Linked DNA regions of Caenorhabditis elegans. The protein of the gene in region 2 purifies or fractionates together with the protein of the main gene of each other region. This does not show direct contact. Each region holds a gene or a part of one and is shown on either strand. Other genes may lie near its edges.

Evidence for each region.
Region 1: the proteins of zmp-4 (region 2) and srh-56 fractionate together in Caenorhabditis elegans (co-fractionation; one large-scale study listed by BioGRID). This does not show direct contact.
Region 3: the proteins of zmp-4 (region 2) and ZC443.2 fractionate together in Caenorhabditis elegans (co-fractionation; one large-scale study listed by BioGRID). This does not show direct contact.

What each region holds. Positions count from the first base shown.
Region 1 is NC_003283.11:2,770,119-2,773,875, reverse strand, and holds srh-56 (Serpentine Receptor, class H), read right to left. Parts: upstream 2,017-3,757; coding exon 1,671-2,016; intron 1,610-1,670; coding exon 1,419-1,609; intron 1,096-1,418; coding exon 865-1,095; intron 687-864; coding exon 608-686; intron 545-607; coding exon 357-544; downstream 1-356.
Region 2 is NC_003283.11:14,919,940-14,923,696, reverse strand, and holds the start of zmp-4 (Peptidase metallopeptidase domain-containing protein), read left to right. Parts: upstream 1-2,087; 5' UTR 2,088-2,095; coding exon 2,096-2,209; intron 2,210-2,569; coding exon 2,570-2,667; intron 2,668-2,712; coding exon 2,713-2,831; intron 2,832-3,028; coding exon 3,029-3,116; intron 3,117-3,159; coding exon 3,160-3,284; intron 3,285-3,331; coding exon 3,332-3,491; intron 3,492-3,757. Other genes in the region: srg-54 (Serpentine receptor class gamma), read left to right, coding at 480-610, 661-742, 809-949, 999-1,205, 1,252-1,341, 1,590-1,709.
Region 3 is NC_003283.11:12,809,590-12,813,227, forward strand, and holds ZC443.2 (uncharacterized protein), read right to left. Parts: upstream 1,604-3,638; 5' UTR 1,570-1,603; coding exon 1,270-1,569; intron 1,151-1,269; exon of another isoform or gene 1,024-1,150; coding exon 763-1,023; 3' UTR 623-762; downstream 1-622. Other genes in the region: ZC443.1 (NADP-dependent oxidoreductase domain-containing protein), read right to left, coding at 395-469; ZC443.3 (Glutamic acid-rich protein-like), read right to left, coding at 3,003-3,161, 3,288-3,638.

The DNA.
Region 1 (3,757 bases), about 12 Mb from region 2:
TGCTGAAATTGGTGAAAGTTCTAAGTTTGTCCAAATTGCCCAAATATTTTAAAACTGCCAAAAAGTTTGAATTTGCGAACATTGAAAAAAATTGTCAGAAATCCTAGAGTTATCGAAATTACCAAAATTGACAACTTTGCCGATATGGATAAATTGTCAAAATTGCTGAAATTCGTGAAATTGCCAAAATTTTTCAAAATTGATGAATATGCCAAAATTGCCAAAATGGCTCTCACTAGCAAGATGCGCATCTGTTTCCCGAGTGAAAATAGTCAAGTTTTGTCCAAAAAAAACATATTTACTAAATATTTGTAAAAAAATCTTGCTTGGCAAATAAAACGAAAATTTAAAAAAAACTAATTAGACACACTTCCATGTGGAGACGTCACAGGTTCCACGATGATAGTCATTCTCCGTTGTGAAAATCGTTGTCCAGGGATCAGACTTTTAGTGAAATCTCTGTATGGTTTGTAAATAAAAAGGGTGCAACAGGTGCATAGAAGTCCGTGATTTGCCATAATTAGCATAGCGTTGTTGTTGTAGGCTGCAAAAGTTTGGAACGTGTTAGCCATGTTTTGGCTTTTTTAAATAATTTGCACTTTCTCACCTTGATTATAGTAATTCATTTTGTCTGCATACATAGTGTAGGCCACAGGAAATGCAATGGCAATCCATGGAATTGAGATCTAAAAAAACACATGCTAGAATTAAATGTTTAAAATTTTAAAAATTTTGTGGTTTTTCAATTTGTCAAAAACATTTTTAAATTTTTAAAATTGAAACAAACCCATTTAAATTTTTTTTGCATTTTTTTGCAGTTTCATTTGGCTATTCCAGTTAATTTTCAGTTATAGTTATACTCACCTGAATAGAAACATTCTTCAGAAACTTTCGCTGAAGATTCTTCGTCGCCGCCGATATTTTGGCACTTGATACTAGTGTGAGGTGATAAACGGTGTGTAACAAAAAGAAAAAAGTTTGGAAAATAACAAATCCAAAACCAATTGTGATTGACCAGAATGGCAAGACCTCTCCGCCCTGCAGCAGTACATAGGTTTTTGGGTCCCAGAATTCGCTCGTCGGACAGGGGATTCTCTGTAAAATTAAGTTGAATTTGAAGACGGGTGTTAAATACACACGACCGAAAAATATAATAAACACTTCAAAAGTTTTTAGTTATTCAAAAATTGACATTTTTGAAAAAAATTGAAAATTCCCGCAGATCTGAACTCCTAGAATGTTTCAATATTATTAATAAGAACGCAATTAATTCAAAAAAAATCTTTTGGTCGACTTCCAAAATTAGGATATGTGAAAACTGAGAGTTTTCACATTTTTGACTTTAAATATAAAATTTTATAAAATTTTTTGAACATTTCTAATATCTCTGAATGGGCATTTTAGTACATTTTACTAACCTCCAAGACCTTCTGTCTCATTTTCAATTGGTCAGTGTCGTCTAGATAAAATGGAAGCATAACAACAAATGTGAATAAATAGTTTAATGCGAAATATGTTAAACGAGTTTTTCTCCGTTTGATTTTGAATCGAATCGTGGAAATTTGACTATGTTGATTTTCATAGAGCATTATAAAACAGACACCCATCACTGAAAAACATGTGGTATTTGAAATTTATATTTAAATTTCCTAAAAGATCCTAAAACTTACTAGTGACGGAAACCTGTCCCCAATACGACTGCCACTTGACACCTACTCCCAAATATCCTAGAAGCCCAAGGGGTACTCCGGAGGCACTCGGAAAAAATATATACGGCCCCGAGTACACTGTGAACATCAAATCGAGATTTGTGCTCCAAGCCAGGGATATTAAAAGTGGGATTTTCATATTTTTCATCCGCTTTGGCGTCTTTGTTATAACTGTGTAAAATGTGAATATGGATAGAGGAACTGTTAAAAGTGCTGTGAAATGATATGCATTGCGCAGATAGTCTGCCGAGCCAAAATAGGAGTAGGTTTCCCGGCAGTTTGAGGTGTTGTTGTCTGGCCATGCCATTGGTTTCCTGGAAGATGTTTAATATAATAGGTTTCGATAGGAATTCCGAAAGTGTTCACAAGCTAAGCGTTACAAGAAAAATTCCTTAAAAAGCCAGAAAACCAGAGCCTAAAAGTTCAAAGCCCCATTTGCATGTAAAATGATCCGCGCGGTAGAGTTGGACGCGCCGAAAAATTCTTGATCGTTGATGTAATACCACCGTAATCCTGCTAATTTGATAATTTGAGGTGCGGAGTTTTCAATTTTTTTTTCTCGGAAATTTATTTTTCTAGGAGGCTCTGACTTGGAGTTTCGATGTAATGCTAAATGCTGTGTTAGTGATTAGGGACATTTAAAAAGGGAAATGTGTTTTGTGACAGATCAAATGATCATCTAGGTTGGCGATGCAAAACAATACGGCAAAAAAGTGTAAAAAACTGATGTCTTGCAGCGGACATTTCCCGGGTTAATTGGAAAGTAAATGGGACCCCACATCTTTCCTGATTTTTTGTCCGGAATAGAGGCTTTACCAGAAAAATCTTTACAATTAGTTCTTCAATTTTTACAGAAACCTTTTTATTTCAACATTTCAGAATCCTAGGTTCAACAGCTGGAAATTTATCAATTGGACAAAAACTTGGTTTTAATTCTATTCAAACAAGGGCCTATTCAAAAAAATTGAGCTTCTTATCCACCTAAAAGTAACGTTTGATCCAAATTATCGGGCTAAGAAAGGACTAAGAGTAGTCGGTGCTGAAGATGAAGTCAAAATTGAAAATCAAAGGTTTGGGGTACATGTCAAAAAAAACAATTGTAGGAATTGCTAGAAGAAACTCAGCGGATTCAGTTCGAATAGTTGTTTGAAAAAAGTAGATCCTCATAATTTGTTCGACTTCTAATTTGACCAGAAATCTACTACACCGCAGTAGAAATCAGGTATCCTGCTGTGTTTTGTCTGTGGCTTCTTAGCTGCCGAAGCGAGAAAAATGCAAACAAACTTCGAAAATGTCATAAATTTATGCTATTTTTGCAAACTTAGTGACGACCTAACAAATCTAGAAAAATTGAACTTTCTACCAAATCTAAGTAGATTTTTTTGGAAACCAATAGATTTAGTTATATTCCAAAAAACTACATACTTATGAAACTCAGAAGTAAAAGCTTTCAAAATGTGACTGAACTCGCCAAAAAGTTCAATAAAATGAGCCGCGCGGTAGTTGTTTCACGCCGATAAACATTTGATCGTTGATGTAATACATTTCCACAAACCTGCTAATTTGATCAATCGGGGTACACAAGTTTCCCAATTTCCTTATTTCTCAGAAATCGTTTCTCCAGAAGGTCGTGTTCAAGTACTTTTCTGACTTGAATTTTTGATTTATGGTTAATTGTAAATGTTTCGTGACCAGGAATCTTTCAGAGAAAAACTTCTTCTTCATCAAATTACATAATTAAATGTTATTTGAATATTTAAACAATCTGATACTTATTTTAAAAGTATGGTAAATTTTTGTAAAGTTTTTGAAAACCTCAGGGGTCCTGAAGCTGTTGTGTGGTCGATTTTTCAATTTTTGAGGTATCAGAATTTAATTATAGGTACGAAGTTTTTTTTTAAGAAAACCACTGTCTGGATAAAAAATTATTTTTCTGCAGTGTTCCTACATTTTTTGTACGAAAGTTTTCTGGCGCCAAAATGAAAGAATTTACATTTTTTAGATTTACCTTCCATTTGGTGTTTGCGAGTCATAAATCGAATTCCACT
Region 2 (3,757 bases):
TATTCTTTGAGGCACAAAATGTTCAACAGAGTTCAACAAAGTTTAATTTTCTAGAACCACAATATTGAAGTGTGTTTGGGGAAAGTGGCTAGAGAAGATACTGAAAAATGTAGTACATGTTTCCAAACTTACTCTGGTATTGACAAATGAATAACTACACTGAAATTTTTAAAATAAAAATCCCTCGCAAGAAATTGGTAATTTAATTTCAAGTGCCAAATTTGAAAAATTTCGGTTCCTTTCTTTAAAATATTGTTTTGCGTGTTTAAAGCTATACAATTTAAAAAAACAAATATGTATAAAATTCAGGAAAAACACGAAATTTAGGTCGATTAGCAAAATTATTATAGTTTTTTTGGCACTTTTTAATCTATAAATTTAAATAATGCCACTATCAGGTTTCGTTTTTTTGAAAAACTCCAATTTAGGAAATAATGTTTCCAATAGTTTCAGACTTTATTCAAACGATAAACTTCCAGAATATTACATGTTACATCAATAGTTGGTTAGCTATCCGCTTGGAATACTTCGAAATCGGACGAACTTTCCTTATTTTTCTAGAATCTTCTCTTCCAGGATGCCTCACACTGTCAAAGCTTTTTGTTTCATTGTAAGATATATATCATATTTTAAAAAAATATTATTATTATTCATTTTCAGATACTTCCACTTGCAAAATGTTACGGGATTATTTCTAGTTATTTATCGCTTCACATCAGTTTACTCAATAAATTCTGAAAAGGTATGCAGACTGGAAATTCTACTCTAATACTTTATACTCTAATAATATTTTGCGATTAATTTTCAGGTATGGAATCGCTGGTATTTTTTAGTTCCAGTTCTCGGACTGTTATATTCTTTTATTATTATTTCCCCATGGTGGCTTTTTCAAAATTATGTTACTAGAGTTAGAATTATTGATGGGAAACTTATTAAAATAGTTAATCAGGTTTTTTTCAGTGAATAAAATAACATTTCCTAATATCTGGTAATTTCAGAGAGCACTTTTAACTCAAGCATCTATAAATCCATATTTCTCTGCATTTTATTTTCTTTTAATTATATTAATTGGTGTTTGGACTACTGTACTCTTAGAGAACAGATGGAAAAAGAGTCATTCGAGAAGACATAATCACTTTATTAAAAAATTAACACGTGTCATATTTTGTAACAGTTTTTTGATGTCTGGAAATTTATTGCTTTTGGTATTCAACAGATTTCAGGTTTAAAATATTTTTAGTTGGTTTTCAGATTGCCACCAGTGTGATGTACGTTATTTGCCCTTTTCGAACAGTTATTATGAAAATACAAACAATTGCTGTAACATTTACATCGGATATGGTAGGTTATACCAACATCAATTTAATCTGCCCGCAAAGTAAATTCGACCCTCTCCAGCTGATTGGTCGATTCAAGCGGGAAGTTGAATCTGGATATTGTGTGTATTCAGTTGAAGCTTGCTTAGGTTTAAGATTTCAAAAATTTTAAAATATTTTCCACCGCCAGAACAGAAAAACAAGGAGAATGTCAAAGAATAAGTCTTGAACTTTCTTTATTAAGTTCGCTTGTTGGAGTTCTTTTTTTTTCAGGTAACTCTAGCCATGCCGTACATCCTTCTGGCATTTGACTCGAACATGCGAAGAATTCTGAGAATTGAAAAATCAAAAGGTTACGACAGCAGAACAGCATCCAATTATGCAGAAAACTAATATTATTTGTATTAAGTCTCCCATTTTAAAATTTAGTGATCTTCGATCTATATGATTAACAGAAATGATATCACTCACTCAATCATTTTGTCATTTTTCCCCTTCCTTTTTTCTGTTCTAACCCATATCACAATCTTACCAAGTTCGGCGAGATGACCAAGAGAAAAAAGATCGAATCCAATTTTCTTATTTTCTTCATCATTTGATAGTTTTTCCAACTGTTTTTGTTTCGATTACCTCTTCGATTTTTCTATTTACTTTGAATGAAAAGATCAATTTATTTTAAGTTGGAAAAACCTGTTCACATGCGACACTTTTCCGTTGTTTTTACCTATTTTTTCTTCCTTTTGTTTTTTATGATTATTTTTCTAAGTTCAGGTCATTCAATGTGGCCTTTGTTTTTATTGGGTATTATTGGAGTGGTTTCTGCTGGAATTCCAGGCACAAATGGAGATATTCGTCAGCCAAATTTTCAGAAAGAGCTCATGGATGAAGCCAAGGTATGTAGCAGTTTGAGCAGTTTTAAAAGTGAGGAAGTGATTCTGCCTTTCGCTTTTATTTTTTCTCTCATCCTTCGTTCGCCCGGAAAATGCCTCCAAAAGAGAAATAAAATTAAATAGAAAATTAAAAAAAAGGAGAATTCAACTGCAACGAAATACATTGAAATTAAACATTGAAATTGAAATTTTAGAAAAAAGTTTTGAATAAATTATTCAACAGCTACTTTGTCAGTGTGATGTTGAAAATTTTTTGTTTTCATCAGTTTCACAATACATACAAACAGTTTAATTATAGAAACTCTTCTGAAGAAAGTTTCTTAAAAAATGACTGAATGAAGTTTGTAACTGAGAGATTTTCAGGTATATCTCTTCAAATTCGGTTACATGATTCCTGAACCACACCAAAATGTAAAAACAATTCAAGAGCCAAGTGAAAAACAGACAAAAGATGCTCTTATGTAAGTACTAATTGTAAATGTAACTTTTTTGAAAAAGTTGTTTAGTCGCTTCCAATCTGCATTCCTCTATTATTCATCAGGAGATGTTGATGTTCCAACTCAAGCAAAAATGAACGAATGGAGATGTGCTAATAATGATATGGATAAGGGACAACCAATTCCACGTGAGAATAACAGATTTAAAATATTTTAGTAGGTAAATTCAATGAAGCGCGAGACGCCTCGATGGTTCCGCATTTCTTATAGTGTCAAAATCTGATGGAGGTAGCACCTAGAAGGTGTCGGCTACAAAACATTTTATTTGAATTCTATACTCTACGAGGGCTCCTCTAGTTCTTTTTAATTCACAGCTTAATTTCAGCAGCTTCGAAAAAAGAGTTATGGACGAAGAAATCACTGACCTACAAAGTGGTAAACACTCCAAATACTCTTTCTCAAGCACAAATAAGGTTAGCTAAAAATTTGAAAAAACAAATCCTAAAAATATTTCAGATCTGCCGCCCATGAAGCATTTGAACAATGGACCAGAGCCAGTGGTTTCAAATTTGTGGAAACAACTGGAGCAACCCCAGATATAACAATCACCTTCTACGATGTCCCACAAAGCAATTTGAGAAGTAGATTTTCCTTATATAATTCTATATATTTTATACTGTAATTTCAGTTGCTGGAAGTGCATCAAAACCAGTGAACAGTCATATCATTCTTGATAAAAATCAGGAATGGGCATACAAGTCACAAGCCCCAATGGGAATCTCTCTTTATCATACGCTTCTTCACGAAATTGGACACATTTTGGGTTTGCCACACACTTTTTATAGAGGGTAAGTGGTTATAATGACAGACATTTAAATTTTTGTAGCAAATCTGATATGATTTTTGTTGCATAGAAATTTTCAAAATAAGCCCAAATGTTTACCTACTCCCAAATACCCTAAAAATATACAAACTCTACAAAGAAATTCTACAAGCTTCGTAAATTGTGAAAAAAAAGCACCTAAACAATTTATAACTTAACAACATCTTGAATTTAATTTTAGAAATTCAATGCGAAGCTTAGTTTAGTTTAATATAAACAATATAAAAGTTT
Region 3 (3,638 bases), 2.1 Mb from region 2:
CTATTAAGTAGAGAAAATGATGATTTTTAAAGAGTGACGCCAATTGTTTTTTAAGTTTCGAAAAATATCAAAATTTTGTAAACAACTGAACCAATACAACAAATTCTTGAGAAATTATAGAGTGGACTCTTTTCTTTGGCTCATACAGATTTTTGAGCGAAAAAATTATTTTCTAGTTTGCTTCTCTGCTTCTAAATATTTCCGATAAAACATTTTTTGTCTGAATTATTGAAATTTGTTGGGTACAGCTATCCGAAACTTTAATAAAATTCCTAAAAATTATATCAATGTACAAAAACTGGCAATTTCAAGTAACATTACAACCAAGTGTTGAATAAATCCTTGCTAATGGTAGTTAATTTATTCTAAACTTCAAACTAATTTTAAATGTTACCTGCCAGGTACCAAGACCAATACTTGGCATGAGAACTCCATTAGACAGAGTGAAGATTGGAACTTTTGATGACATTTCGAAGGAAAATAAAGTTTGTATAGTTGGGGGTACTTCATATTTATACACAAACCGCAATCCTAATTATCGAATTAAAACTGGAAGAAAGACCTTGAATTTGTGGTCTGTGTGTGTGTTTCTCTTAATATATAAAGAAAATAGTTTGCGCTGTTCCAATTTGTACTTCGTTTTATTGAAATTAACAACATGGACGAGGGGAATGATGAGGAAAAGATTATGTCAAATGGGTAGAAGTAGACGAATAATGACGACTTGGAAGAACACAAAATACATTTTTAAGTACCAGAAGTTTAGGTGACTTGTTCCATTTCCTTTCCATTTTTATTTCTAATTTCTCGGTCTTTTTCCATCTTCTCCAGTCGTGAATTGGTGTATTTGTAATATCCTTCCTTCCCTAAATACCACATCAAGCGATATTCATGCTTTTGATTCATTCTCTCTGCTTTCTTTTTTCTTTCCTCAAAAGTTCGTTCCAGTTTCTCAAGTCGTTTCTTCTTGTACATTCGGTATTTTTCAATAATATGGTCGTTGTGGTCGGCAAAGATGTGAATCTAAAAATTCGATTTTTTTTTCAATTGTAGAGAATTTGGTGTATGTTGTTTCCTAACAGGATTAAAAAGTTAATTTGATGTTTTTGTGAGTTCATTGTACATTTTAACAAAATAAACCTACATTTGATATATGCCAACCAAACTTTCAAAATTTTCAGACTGGAATTTAATTTCAAATTTAAGACAATAATGCCAAACGTGTTCAAGATTTTGACATCTTTATTTAAAACAATTCTAGAAACTCACCGCCCATTCTCCAGCTAAGCCGTCTCTTTTGAATTGAGCATTTTTTAGAAGATAGTCATCTAATGAGTTTTCCAATGCAAATGCCGATGAATAATGAAATCGGAAAGGTTTAATACATCCAATTGGGTGAAGAGAACGGAAGAAATGCTGAAGTTTTGAATAGTTACTATCATTCATTGCAGCATATCCAGGGAAATACTCATTGAATTCTTCAATCGCAGCGACATACTCAATTGACATCAATTTGTGCTCCGATTTTGGGAATGTATCTCTCCATAGTTTGATTACTTTTTCGAACATTTTGAAGATAAGCAGGTTAGTTAGGAAGTGTCCCTGGAAATATTATTATTGTTATTATTATGAAAGAGATGGATAAATGTAGTAAGTATGCAAAAAGTAAATGAAAAGCCAATCGTATGCAAAAGAATAAATGGACAAAAGCTGTAGAGAAGCAGACAAAATGAAAGAGAACGAGAAATAGGATGAGGAACACTACACACATACAAACAAGGAGGCAACGAGTGGACCACCTCAAGCATCTTGTGAGTTATAATTTGCACACACCCCCCGTACACTTCCCCGCTTGTTTTTGATTTGATTTTGTAAAGGATGCAGAAAAAGAATTGAACAAAACAACACGTCATGATGCTCTGCTAGAGTGCTTGGAGCAAATGATAAGAGAAATATTAGAAGCTTTTATTGAAATCAGGTGGTCAGTGGGTGAAGCGCATGGTTTTCCCACAACAATGTGACCTCGATTATGAATTACAAGACTTTATGAAAAATTCGTACTTTATGAAAAATCGTTTGGTAAAATCTTTACGACTTACTTCCGTACTGGATCATCCTAGTGGGTACCTTCATAATACGTACAGTAAGCCTTCCACAAGGACGCAACTTGCGAAAATATTTTAAAATTAAACTCAACAATACTATTTTTAGTTGAACTTAGTTAAAGCTAGAATATGCGAGATTTTAACAAAGTGTTTATCCTGAAATTTAGTGCTGGTCTTGCTCTATTATTTGTACCTTCTATTGGAAACTTGACACCGTGAACTCATGATTTTCTATATCAATTTTCACATTTTTCCACCTCTTCAAAACTTTCCCTCTTTCAAGCTTGAAGTCCCTCTTCGGTTTTCTACAATGCTAACGAGCTTCAGTATCACGCATTACCCATGCGCAAGAAAATGAGAACAGACAAGAAATTTCAATCAAGCCTATTATTATTTTTCTCACTTTTTTTTCCTGTCTACTCACTTTCTCTTGAAGGAAAAGCTTAAAGCAGTGGCACCCACTGCCATCACTACTACAAACCGGTCATTGTCAACAAATAACACAACAACGCATTTTTGTTTTGTTGACGCCATGATGCGCAAGCAGGCATCTAGAATTATTATGCAGTGGTGGGATGGTAATTGTGAAAAATCCGGATGTTTTTACATTTTATACAAAAATTCATATAAGGAGTTGAGGAAAAATGAATACTTGAAACATGAATACATATGAAACAATTAGAGAAGTTACATTTCTATGTACAAATAAGAATGTTAAAAACATTTAGTTACAGTTTGTTCAATTTAATAACTAAAGAAAAACAAACGGTTCTTTGGCATTATTGAACAATTTTGAAAATGAAAAAATTCGGAAGAATGTTAATGAGAAATTTGAAGCAAGAAACACGTTACAGAGTGCACAAGTACCCGTTGGCAGAAAAGCAAGATACTTGGCACCTATAGCATTTCATATTCTAGAGCATCAACGTCCTTGTCCTCGATTTTCTCCAACTCTTCAATGTCACTTCCATCGTCTGAATCCTGATCACATTTGTCGAATTCTTCATGACTATCGGAATCACTCGCATCGTCCACAATTTTCGATTGTGACGCAGCCTAAAAATAGTTTTGTTGAAACTTTACGAGTGAACAATTTGCTTCCCAACAATTAATTAGAAATAACGAGAGAACCATTTTATTTATTATTATTTTGCACAAATCAAACTTTAAGCTAGAACTTACTTTTGTGTTCTTCTTGTCATCCAAGTTCAGTTGCTCCATAACATCTTCTAAAAGAGATGCTGCAATTGTAACTTCATTCGTCTTTTCGGGAACATCTGATTTAAGGTTTTCAGATTTTTCAGTTTTATCCTTTTTCACAGTTACAGATTTAGCAACTTTGAATTTTGCTTCGTGTTTCTTTGTCACAGACATCATCGACTTTTCTGTACTACTTTTCGATTGATGCTTTTTTTGAATAAGATTAGCTTTTGCAGCAGATATGGCAAGTGAATCATCTTCTTTAACCGGCAATGAAATAATGACATTTTCAACTTGCACAGGCGCGGCTACAACAGTTTCTGGTTTGGTCAG